2 linked regions of the Macaca fascicularis genome follow. The protein of the gene in region 2 purifies or fractionates together with the protein of the main gene of each other region. This does not show direct contact. Links are inferred from orthologs where the notes say so. Each region holds a gene or a part of one and is shown on either strand. Other genes may lie near its edges.

What was found. Proteins that work in one complex are often made in the same cells at the same time.
Region 1: the proteins of RPL23 (region 2) and RPLP2 fractionate together in Homo sapiens (co-fractionation; 4 studies listed by BioGRID). This does not show direct contact. The link is inferred for Macaca fascicularis from reciprocal best matches to the Homo sapiens genes RPL23 and RPLP2.

Annotation. Positions count from the first base shown.
Region 1 is NC_088388.1:710,539-716,403, reverse strand, and holds RPLP2 (large ribosomal subunit protein P2), read right to left. Parts: upstream 3,643-5,865; 5' UTR 3,568-3,642; intron 3,374-3,567; 5' UTR 3,373-3,373; coding exon 3,250-3,372; intron 1,697-3,249; coding exon 1,648-1,696; intron 1,613-1,647; exon of another isoform or gene 1,479-1,612; intron 523-1,478; coding exon 424-522; intron 301-423; coding exon 224-300; 3' UTR 187-223; downstream 1-186. UniProt on the Homo sapiens protein: Plays an important role in the elongation step of protein synthesis.
Region 2 is NC_088390.1:59,849,167-59,854,830, forward strand, and holds RPL23 (large ribosomal subunit protein uL14), read right to left. Parts: upstream 3,731-5,664; 5' UTR 3,704-3,730; coding exon 3,691-3,703; intron 3,097-3,690; coding exon 3,013-3,096; intron 2,982-3,012; exon of another isoform or gene 2,847-2,981; intron 2,716-2,846; coding exon 2,587-2,715; intron 505-2,586; coding exon 391-504; intron 249-390; coding exon 166-248; 3' UTR 119-165; downstream 1-118.

The DNA of each region.
Region 1 (5,865 bases), on a different chromosome or scaffold from region 2:
GCTTAAGGCCCACAGGAAGGGGCCCCAGGCAGCTGTGATGCCCAGACTCCCCTCCTCATGCTCATTTTGCACCAGAAACTCTTCCCCAACACCATGTTGTCCACACTTCAGCCCCAAACCTGCCCTCTTTGATGCGAAGCTGGGCAGCGACTACCGTCTGACAAAGTGCTCATGGAATACTTGAGGTATGTGTAAAAGGCTTTATTTGCAGGGTAGCAGGAATTTAATCAAAGAGGCCAAATCCCATGTCATCGTCTGACTCTTCAGACTCCTCCTTCTTCTCATCTTTCTTCTCCTCTGCTGTGGAAAAGAGAGGCGTGGTGAGCACTGCCCAAGTGCCAGGCCAGTCCCCCCATGGAGACCCCACTGCAGCAACACTGTCTGAGCCCCAGCCCCTTGCCCACTCACTAGGCCACCACTTACCTGCAGCAGGCGCGGAACCAGCAGCAGGTGCTGCAGAGCCTGGGGCAGCGGAGACGGCCACAGCCCCACCGGCAGGTACACTGGCAAGCTTGCCAATACCTACAGAAAGCAGAGAGGTGAGACCAGAGCAGCTGCCCAGTCCGGGAAGCTGTTCCACAGGGAAGTCAGATGGCACCATGGATGGCACAGGGCACCCAACATATATGGACCCACCATATGCCAAAGTCTCCCGTTCTTCCGGAACACTCCCTCCCCCAGCCACTCCTCAACAGGGACTTTTCCTATCCAGAAACTTGCCTTCTAGGAATTAGGCCCACATTACCTGCCTGCCCACTTTCCCCACCTCCACCCTCAGATGTCCGTTGGACAAACATGGTTTTTTGTTGTTGTTTTTTTTTTTTTGAGACAGAGTCTTGCTCTGTTGCCCAGGCTGGAGTTCAGTGGCGCAATCTCGGCTCACTGCAAGCTCCACCTTCCAGGTTCACGCCATTCTCCTGCCTCAGCCTGCCAAGTAGCTGGGACTACAGGCGCCCGCCACCTCGCCCAGCTAATTTTTCATATCTTCAGTAGAGATGGCGTTTCACCGTGTTAGCCAAGATGGTCTCCATCTCCTGACCTTGTGATCCGCCCGCCTCGGCCTCCCAAAGTGGTGGGATTACAGGTGTGAGCCACCATGCTCGGCCTGGACAATGAGCATGCTGCTCCAGTGTCCACATCTCTGGCCACAGCCATGTGCTCATGGCTTGGCCCGTTTGCTGAGCCAGCCCTGTCCTGGTCACATGCATGGAAGACAGGAACAGCTGCCCCAACAGCTCAACTTCCAAACAACTCCCACCAGCTCAGCTGACACCAACAAAAAACCATCTGCCCAACAAAGAGGCAAGAAGCCTGTGAACATCCCTGGCACCCGTAGTCCCTGCCCCCAGCTCCTTCACAGAAAGCATGCGGTAAGAACTGCTGACATGAACTCAGTTCTCCAGACACCAAGCTTCAGAGGCAGGGCCACCTAAACGTCCACTGAGAACACAGGGTGCCCCCTGCTGCCCTGCTCCTGGGAGTGTCTAGAAGCGCCCATGACATGAGCCCACTGGAGCCCTGCTCACTCCTCAGGTGAGGCTTCTAGGGTGCTCTGGTCCACAAGCGAAACCTGGCAGGCCACAGACGGACCAGCAGGGATTAGGATGGACCATGAAAACAAATGAAAGTCCCTCCACATCAACTCACCCTGGGCAATGACGTCTTCAATGTTTTTTCCATTCAGCTCACTAATAACCTGGAGCAGATAATCACACAGCTGTTACCAGGAAAGTGCAAATGTATCCCTGGCCCTATCCCTTCCAGAATCACAGCAGGACTGGGTCCCCCACAGAGGAATACGCCCTGAAGTTTCTAGACCTGCACTGCCCAAAGGGAGCCACCACCCTCGCTTGGTAAGTGATATAAAAATAAATGGACACTAGGTTTCTTAGACTTAGGACTGAGAAGGGAACACACGGTGTCTCACCGCTTAATGTTGACTACTCACAGGTATCTTCAACACGGGCAAAATAAGCTGTCAATGAAACTGACTTTGACTTCAGGCTGGAGTGCAGTGGTGGGATCTCACTGCAGCCTTGACCTCCCGGGCTCAAGCGACTCTCCCACCTCAGTCTGGGACAACAGGTGTGAGCACACACACCTGGCTGATTTTTTTTTTTTTTTTTTTTTTTTTGAGACGGAGTCTTGCTCTGCCGCCCAGGCTGGAGTGCAGTGGCGGGATCTCAGCTCACTGCAAGCTCCGCCTCCCGGGTTCACGCTATTCTCCTGCCTCAGCCTCCCAAGTAGCTGGGACTATAGGCGCCCGCCACCTCGCCCGGCTAATTTTTTGTATTTTTTAGTAGAGACGGGGTTTCACTGTGTTAGCCAGGATGGTCTCGATCTCCTGACCTCGTGATCCGCCCGTCTCGGCCTCCCAAAGTGCTGGGATTACAGGCTTGAGCCACCGCGCCCAGCCTTGATTTTTTTTATTGTATTTTAGAGACAGGGCTTGGCTCTGTGGGACTGCAGTGGCACAATCACTACTCCATGCAGCCTTGACTTCCCAGGCTCAAATGAGCCTCCCGCCTCAGCCTCCTGAGTAGCTGAGACTACAGATGTGCACCACTGCCTACAACTTTTTTTTTTTTTCAACTTTTTCTGGAGACCAGGTTTTATGATGTTTTCCAGGCTAGTCTTGAATTCCGAGGCTCCAATAATCCACCCGCCTTGGCCTCCCAAAGTGCTGGGTGAGCCACTCACCAGGACTGCCTTTTTTGTTTGTTTTTTAAGGAATCTTATGCATCTCACTTGTATTAAACTTCCAAAGCTCATTAATCACGACTTTGCCTCGTACCCCTCCAGCTTTTTATTTTTTCCTTTTGAGACAGGGTCTCTTTCTGTCGCCCAGTCTGCAGTGCAGTGGCACGATCTTGGCTCAGTGCAACCTCCACCTCCCGGGTTCAAGCAATTCTCCTGCCTCAGCCTCCCAAGTAGCAGGGACTACAGGCACCCACCATCACGCCCGGCTAATTTTTGTATTTTTAGTAGAGATGGGGCTTCCATATGTTTGCCAGGCTGGTTTCGAACTCCTGACCTCAGGTGATCCGCTCGCCTCGTCCTCCCAAAGTACTGGGACTACAGGCGTGAACCAGTGCACCTGGCCCCCACCCTGCTTACTTCTCTACCCGAGACATCGCCGACTGGACTGAAACAAGCCTCTCCCCGAACCCTCCAGCATGTGGCCGGATCAGGCAGAAAAATCGCCTGTACGGCGCTCTACGGCGGCTGCGGGGCAAGGGCGGCAGCTACCTTGTTGAGTCGGTCGTCGTCCGCCTCGATGCCCACGCTGTCCAAGATCTTCTTGATGTCCTTGGCGCTGGGGGAGGAGTTACCCCCGAGGGCAGCCAGCAGGTAGGAGGCGACGTAGCGCATTCTGAGGCGGGCGGAGAGGGCGCGACGGCGGTGTTATCCCGGTGGCCTCCGGCCTGCCCACCCCGGGGCCGCCGGACGAGGCCGCGTGTGGCTCGACCAGTAGGCCTCCGTCCCGGAAAGACCCCGCCGCCCACCTCGCATGCCCGCGGACCCCGCGTCCCCAGCCCGCACCCCGGGCCGGGTCATCACACTCACGCGGCGGCGTCTGCGGCGGCGGCGGAGAGGCCTCACGCGTGCAACCTCGGCGGTGTCAGGGAGGAAAAGGAAGGCGCCGATGCAAGGGGCGGGGGTAAACCGCTACCCAGAAGCCTCCGGGACCCGAGCGGGGCGCCGCATGAGGCGCCTCAGAATGGCGTCACGAGGCGCTCAGCCAATGACGATGGAGGAGAAGCCATTGACACTTCGCCCCCGGCCCCGTCAAGACAGTTTCCGCGGCACAGGCGAAGGCCAGTAGTTCCGGAAGTGGCTGCTCTTATAGCGTGGGGCGAAGGTCCCCCGAAACTCGTGGTGGCGACGGACGAAGCGAGCCCAAAGGGACGGCATCTGCCTTCGGTACCTAGCGCTCCCAGCATGCCACGCGGCGCCTACAGCGCCCAACATGCAGCGCGGCTGCCACGCCCCGGACGCAACCTTCGCCCGCGAACTGCAAGTCCCATGGTGCACCGCTGCTGGAAGTGGCCTGCGCCGCCGGCCTACGCGGAACGGCACGTGGGCCCGAGCGGGGGCTGCTCGCGGTAGGCTCGCCCTGACTCTTTGGTGGTTCCCTGGCCGCGGCGACCGGTGGCCCCATGTCCAGCCGGGCTCAGTGAGGTCAGCCAGCCGCCTCGGACTTAGCGACTGCAGCCCTACCTGGGAGGCCACCCCCGTCCTGCGGGGCCAGGGCGTCCTGCCAGAGGACGAGCGCGAACCTTGGAGGGCAGGACAATGACTTGAGGCAGCGTCGCCCACTCACCCCTGGGAGGAGTGAGGTCCGAGCGGTCAGCCCCTGCGCTGGCCGCTTCGGCCCAGAACTGACCTTGGTGTCCATGTGGACATAGCACATCAGGGGACCCTGCCACATTCTCGGGTCCTGGGAGGGAACAGGGTTGGCCCTGCCTTCTAAGGACTTCAGTTCTGCGAGGACGCAGGAGGTGAATAAGGGGGCGATCCGAGGGATAGGGACAGAGCGCGAGTTGGTCTGGGCAGCCTGAGAAAGTCTAAGCTGAGAGATAAGGAGCCAACCCTGCCAATAGCCGGGGCTAGCACCAGGAACAGGGGGTCAGATGCAGGTACCTAAGGTGCTAGCAGGCAGCGCCTGCTCCCGTGGGGCTCAAACAGCAGTGCAAACCCTGGGATGTGTATACATCAAGCATTGGAACTCGACTTCACCGTCGCCTTCTGTGGCCTCGGTGTCATTACCCCCATTTTATAGATGAGGCGGTTGGGTACAGAAAGGTTTTCTTGCTCGAGGTCACACATCTGGGATAAAGGCGGGAAAACATCTTGCGAACAATGTGACTTTTTTATTTTGTAATTTTTGAGACTGGGCCCCATTCTGTCGCCCAGCCTGGACTGCAGTGGCTGGATCACAGCCCACTACAGCCTCAAATTCCTGGGATCAGGTGATCCTCCCACCTCAGCCTCTTAGCTGAGACCACAGGCCTGTGCCACCACACCTGGCTAAAATTTTTTGGTAGAGACAGTGTTGTTGAGACATGGGCTCAAGTGATCGTCCCACCTGCACCTCCCAAAGTGCTGGGATTACAGGTGTAATCCCAGAGTCACCGTGCCTGGCCAGGATTATGGTTTCATTCAATGTTTTTTTTTTTTTTTTTTTTTGAGACGGAGTCTCACGCTGTTGCCCAGGCTGGAGTGCAGTGGCGCCATCTCGGCTCACTGCAAGCTCCGCCTCCCGAGTTCCCGCCATTCTCCTGCCTCAGCCTCCTGAGTAGCTGGGACTACAGGCGCCCGCCACCGCGCCCGGCTAATTTTTTGTATTTTTAGTAGAGACGGGGTTTCACTGTGGTCTCGATCTCCTGACCTTGTGATCCGCCCGCCTCGGCCTCCCAAAGTGCTGGGATTACAGGCTTGAGCCACGGTGCCCGGCCTTCATTCAATGTTTTAAGCAAGTCCCTTCACATTGGTGTGCAACCATCACCACTATCCATCCCAACCTTTTTTTTTTTTTTTTTTTTTTTTTGATATAGAGTCTCGCTCTGTCACTCAGGCTGGAGTGCAGTGGCGCTATCTCGGTTCACTGTAAACTCCACCTTCTGGTTTCACACCATTCTCCTGCCTCAGCCTCCCAAGTAGCTGGGACTACAGGCACCCACCACCATGCCCAGCTAATTTTTTGTATTTTTAGTAGAGACGGGGTTTCACTGTGTTAGCCGGGATGGTCTCGATCTCCTGACCTCGCGATCCACCTGCCTTGGCCTCCCAAAGTGCTGGGATTACAGGCATGAACCCCCGTGCCTGGCCCTAACTTTTTTTTTTTTTTTTTTTTTTGAGGAG
Region 2 (5,664 bases):
GAGGTTGCAGCGAGCCAAGATCTCACCACTGCACTCCAGCCTCGGTGACAGAGTGAGACTCTGGGGAAAAAAAAAAAAAAGGCGTAGAAGTGAACAGGGAGGCAAGCACTGCAAACACTTTTTAATGGGTTTAAAATTTTTATTTTTTACAAATATACTGGAGAATCATGCAATGCTGCCAGCATTGGATGCAATCCGGGGCCACAAGTCTGCACACTCCTTTGCTACTGGTCCTGTAATGGCGGAACCTGCATTAAAAAACAAAACAAAACAAAAAACATGTGGGGGACAGGTTAAGACATCATCAAACACAGAGGATCCTTGGCCTGTACTTCTAGACAATCCACCCAACCTCAGAGACCTAAGGAACAAGCCAGACTGAGTTCCTACCTTTCATCTCGCCTTTATTGTTCACTATGACCCCTGCATTATCTTCAAAATAAAGAAACACGCCATCTTTTCTACGGTATGACTTTCGTTGTCGAATGACCACTGCTGGATGTACTGAGAGAAGAAAAAAAGACAGCAGTCATTAACCTGTCAAGTCGCAACGCCACCACAAAAGCAGTTGCCAGCTAGACAGAATGTACTGTCAGTGTTTGAGATAGTATAAATATCAATCAGTCTTTAAGGTGATCCTCCCACCTCAGCCTCTCCAGTATCTTGGACTACAGGTGCTCACCACCATGCCCAGATTTTTTTTTTTACTCCCAAAGTGCTGGGAGTATAGGCATGAACCACAACCATCTATTCACATCTTAAAATCAAAGCTGCCAGTATTTTCTCGCAAGTGTAAAACTCTCAGGAGGACAATTATCCTTGCCTATGCCTTTTCCAACTTCACCTCACAGGTGGGTTATTAAGATCCCAGTATCACTGACTTGGGATGTAGAAATGGGACCTGGGACCCCCAACTGCTCCCAGTCCTGGCAATGAGCAGAGACCAAGCTATTCAGATTTATACTGGAAAACAGTTGGAATTCCAGGGCCCAAACACCAGGCTTTATGTTTTACTTTTAAAGTTTTACTTTCCAGTGTCATAAGTAACTTTTACACCCATCTGTACTAAAGTGAAAAAGATGCTTTTCCCAACTTTCAAAATCAAGTATCACTACACAGTAAAATATAATGCTTGTGAAGAACTATTGTAGAGTCAGACACACCTGGATTCAAATCTTCACTGATACTAGCGTGGGGTCCTTACACAGAATTTTTATAATGACAGGAAGACTATACAAAAAATAGATAAGTCTAACCAAGTTAGCAATGGGACACACATGAGGCAGCCAATACTTACTGACCCTCCTCTACTTATAAACCATTAAATGCTCACAAATTCATCAAGTAGACAAATAGACCTGGCCCTTTTGCACATTTCTGTGCTTGTTATTTATTAAGTTCCAAGGGGAGGGGATGTATTCATTTAGCAGAAACAAGGACCAAAAAAGACATTAACAGAATTGGATACTCACAGCTCGTTTTAAAACTGAAGTGTTCTGAGCTCTGGTCTGTCCCACCACTGACTGAGACCAACAATCCACTCTCCTGCCATCTCATCTACAAAGTGATGGCCATTTGCTCTGCTCTTCTCTAACAGCTCCCTGGGCCACCAATCAGACCCAGGAAGTGTTCTGAGAAGAGGAAAAAGCCCATGCAATTGCTGAATCACAAGCACAGTGCTACCAAGCCCTCAAGTGGCTATTAATGGTAAACAAAAAAAGATTTCTAACCCAAAGGTTAAAAATCTACTGGAGAGCATCGTGGAGTGGATACAGGAATAGGAGTAACTGTAACACATGGCTAACAAATCAACATCATATTTGTAACTCAAGGGATGGCCATGAACTCTTTAGAAGAGCAAGACATCCCAGGGTAGAGACAGACTAGGCAGGCACAGGAAAAAACTGCAAGAGCTGAAGTTAAAATGCATCAAATACCAGAAGTTCTAAAGCCGGACAGGACACAAACTGCAAGTATTTTGAGGCCTCCCCCTTTAAATCATACAGCTGACAGGAAAACTTATGAGGGGGTAGCCTGAGATTAAGTAATGAGCAATTAGCTGGGTGTGGTGGCGCACACCTATGATCCCAGCTCCTCGGGAGGCTGAGGCAGGGCAATCACTTGAGCCTGGGAAGTGGAGGTTGCAGTGAACAGAAAGATATGTGCCACTGCACTGCAGCCTGGGCAACAGAGTGAGATTACATCTCAAAAATAAATAAATAAAAATAAAATAATGAGCAGCTTCTCGTTTTCATTTTCTAATTTTTTTTTTTTTTTTTTTGAGAACCCAGGAGGCAGAGAGGTTGCAGTCAGCCAAGATCGTGCCATTGCACTCTCCAGTGTGGGCTGAGCGACAGAGGGAGACCCCATCTCAAAAAATAAATAAATAAATAAATCTAAAGTATGGAAATGACAAGATGATGGTCCCCCCTCCAACATAATATGAACAAAAACTTAAGATACTTATCTCACATTGCCTCTCAATGGAAAACAACCTTGAGGCCTTGAAAACTGATCCATTTTCCAATAAAGGAAAGAGTCCCCCCACTACTTATCAGTGTTAAGGTGGGCTCAGTGTTTACTCACCCTTTTTTCTGAGCTCTGGTTTGCCTTTCTTGACTGTGGCCATCACCATGTCACCCACACCAGCAGCGGGAAGTCTGTTCAGCCGTCCCTTGATCCCCTTCACGGAGATGATATACAGGTTTTTGGCTCCTACAAATCAATGTAAATAAAAATGAAAAATGTTGAGGGCCCATCAGGCCGTTCCATCAGTATTACATTTCCCAAACACTTCCAAAGTCCCTCCCTCCACTGACTGCCCAAGCAGTTAGTCCTCAAGAACGCCTTGTCACACCACCGATTGAAGCAAACAACACAACATGTTGCCACTTCACCCAAAAGCGATGTTTTCACTCTCCCCTTTCTTGACGGCTCAATAGGTCATTAGGCACAGGCCCATTGAGTGCTTTTAAAAGGGGGAGTATAGAAACCTGCAGTCAAAGACCTCACCTGTGTTGTCAGCACAATTGATCACAGCTCCTACCGGAAGACCCAAGGAAATCCGGAATTTCGCACCAGAGGACCCACCACGTCCTGTGGATATAAAGGGAAGGTAAACAGGATAAAGAGATCACTATCTAGACATGGTTCGCAGTTCCCTCTCATACTCTTAAACTGTAATTCACCGCACATACTTTGACAGATGGTATGCTATAGATTAGCTCGCTCGGATTTTACTTATGCCCTCCCCGTGTGCCACCCGATTCTCACGGAAAGTAGCCTATTTCTCACTATTACCACTCTGACATCGAAATTAAGGAACCTAGACGACTCAGCCCTTGTTCCAACTTTCGCAAAACGCAATTGCTCCTGCAAAGCATAAGACCGCAGAGGTCGCGCAAACCAGGGCCTAATCCAGTCTAACTTCAACCCCAATACGATAGCCCTATTCGCAGAGCGATCTCGCGGGATCCAGACTATATTCATGTCGGGATCCTGCTATGTCAACTCTCCAGCACCCCACTGCCACTTTCGAGGGCCCTGGCAGTGCTCTTGCGATGGCCTGGCTCTCCCTCTCCGGCCTGAAGGAGAGCAAAGCGCCCCAGCTGCCTAGGGCCACCGCTCCTGACGAATCCGCCAGCCACTGCACGACAGATGGTGGAGGATCCTCCAGAAGCAAAACCTCACCTCGCTTCGACATCTTGAACGCCGGAAAAAAGAAAAAAGGAAGTTGATTCAAAGGACGCTGGGATATGAACTTTGACGCCCCGCCCACCTTCGTCACGTGGCCGGAGCTAAAAACTCTGCCTCTTCCGCCTCTGGGCGCTGCCTTATTGCGTATTAAGTTCACGACGTTACTTTGAGCCCTCTCTGAAGTGGGCGTTGAAGTAGAAGCGCAAGAGATAGGAAATCTCTTCTCCAGGAGCTTAAGAGTAGTTAGGGACATGGAAGCAGTGATTTGTTAACTTGCTCACGACCTCTTTTGACAACTTAATACGTGCCAGGCACTTATCAGCACACTAGAGAATAGGAATTAAAACACGGTTTGTGCCGTGTGGGGGTTCCCAAAGAAACAAAGACAGTGGGGGAGGGGGGAGAACCAGCTCCAAACGGTTTCGTTCAATGTAATACAATTGAGAAGTGCTACAGATCATTCCATCTATGTGTTCTTGGTACCATACCATTCTGTATTTTACATATACAGTATTGCTCTGTTTATTGACCCGCCCCCCCCCCCCCCCCACACACACACACAGTTGTTTTTTGTTTTTTGTTTTCTTTTTTTTGAGACGGAGTCTCGCTCTTGCCCAGGCTGGAGTATAGTGGCGCGCTCTCAGCTCGCTGCAACCTCCGTCTCCCGGGTTCAAGCAGTTCTCTGTCTCAGCCTCAGAGTAGCTGAGACCACAGGCGCCCACCACAACGCTGGGCTAATTTTTGTATTTTTAGTAGAGATGGGGTTTCGCCATGTTGGCCAGGCTGGTCTCGAATTTCTAACCTCAAGTGATCTGCCCGCCTTGGCCTCTCAAAGTGCTGGGATTGCAGGCGTGAGCCCCCGCGCCAGGCCACTTGCTCCTTTCACAGCTTCAGCCGCCCCTTTCTTCTGGGTTCTTCCCGTGCCACGATGCATTCATTCAAATACTTACTGAGCTCCTACTTTGTAGCAGGTTCTGTCCAGGGCGTACAGCGGATTACATCAGACAACAAAATAGATCAATATTGTTGTCCTTATGGAGCTTACATTCTGCTGGGGTGCAGGTGGAGGAGGATATTAGACACTAAACAAAAGATATAATAAATAATTGCAGTATGTAGTATGTTAGATGGGGATAAGTATTATAAAAATATAAATAGTATCGCTTCTTGGCCTTTTGGCCAAGATCAAGTGTAAAATACAAATAGTGGCCGGGCCTGGTGGCTCACGCTTGTAATCCCAGCACTTTGGGAGGCCGAGGCGGGTGGATCACGAGGTCAGGAGATTGAGACAAGCCTGGCCAACACAGTGAAACCCCGTCTCTACTAAAAATACAAAAATTTTCTGGGCGTGGTGGCACGCGCCTGTAATCCCAGCTACAGCTACTCGGGAGGCTGAGGCAGGAGAATCGCTGGAACCCGGGGGGCGGAGGTGGCAGGGAGCCGAGATGGCTCTACTGCACTCCAACCTGGGCGACAGAGCTAGACTCCGTCTCAAAAAATATATATATAAATAGCTCTTTGAGAAAGACGCCGTCGTAGGTGTTGCGGATCGCCAATCCTTACGCTCCTGCTCCCGGCTCACCGCTGTTAGCTCTCGCCCAGGAACCAGAGGGTCAGGAAGCCGCGCAGTAGCCATGGATTTTAAGGATACCGGAAAAACACCCATGGAGGCGGAGGCGGCAGTTCACGAATTCGAGTCACTTTAACGAGCTGCACCATAAAATCCCTGGAGTAGGTGTGTGCTGACTTGATCAGAGGAGCAAAGGAAAAGAATCTCAAAGTGAAAGGACCAGTTCGAATGTCTGCCAAGACTTTGAGAATCACTACAAGAAAAACTCTTTGTAGTGAAGGTTCTAAGACATGGGATCGTTTCCACGTGAGAATCCGCAAGCGACTCTTTGACTTGCACAGTCCTTCTGAGATTGTTAAGCAGGTTACTTCCATCAGTATTGAGCCAGGAGTTGAGGT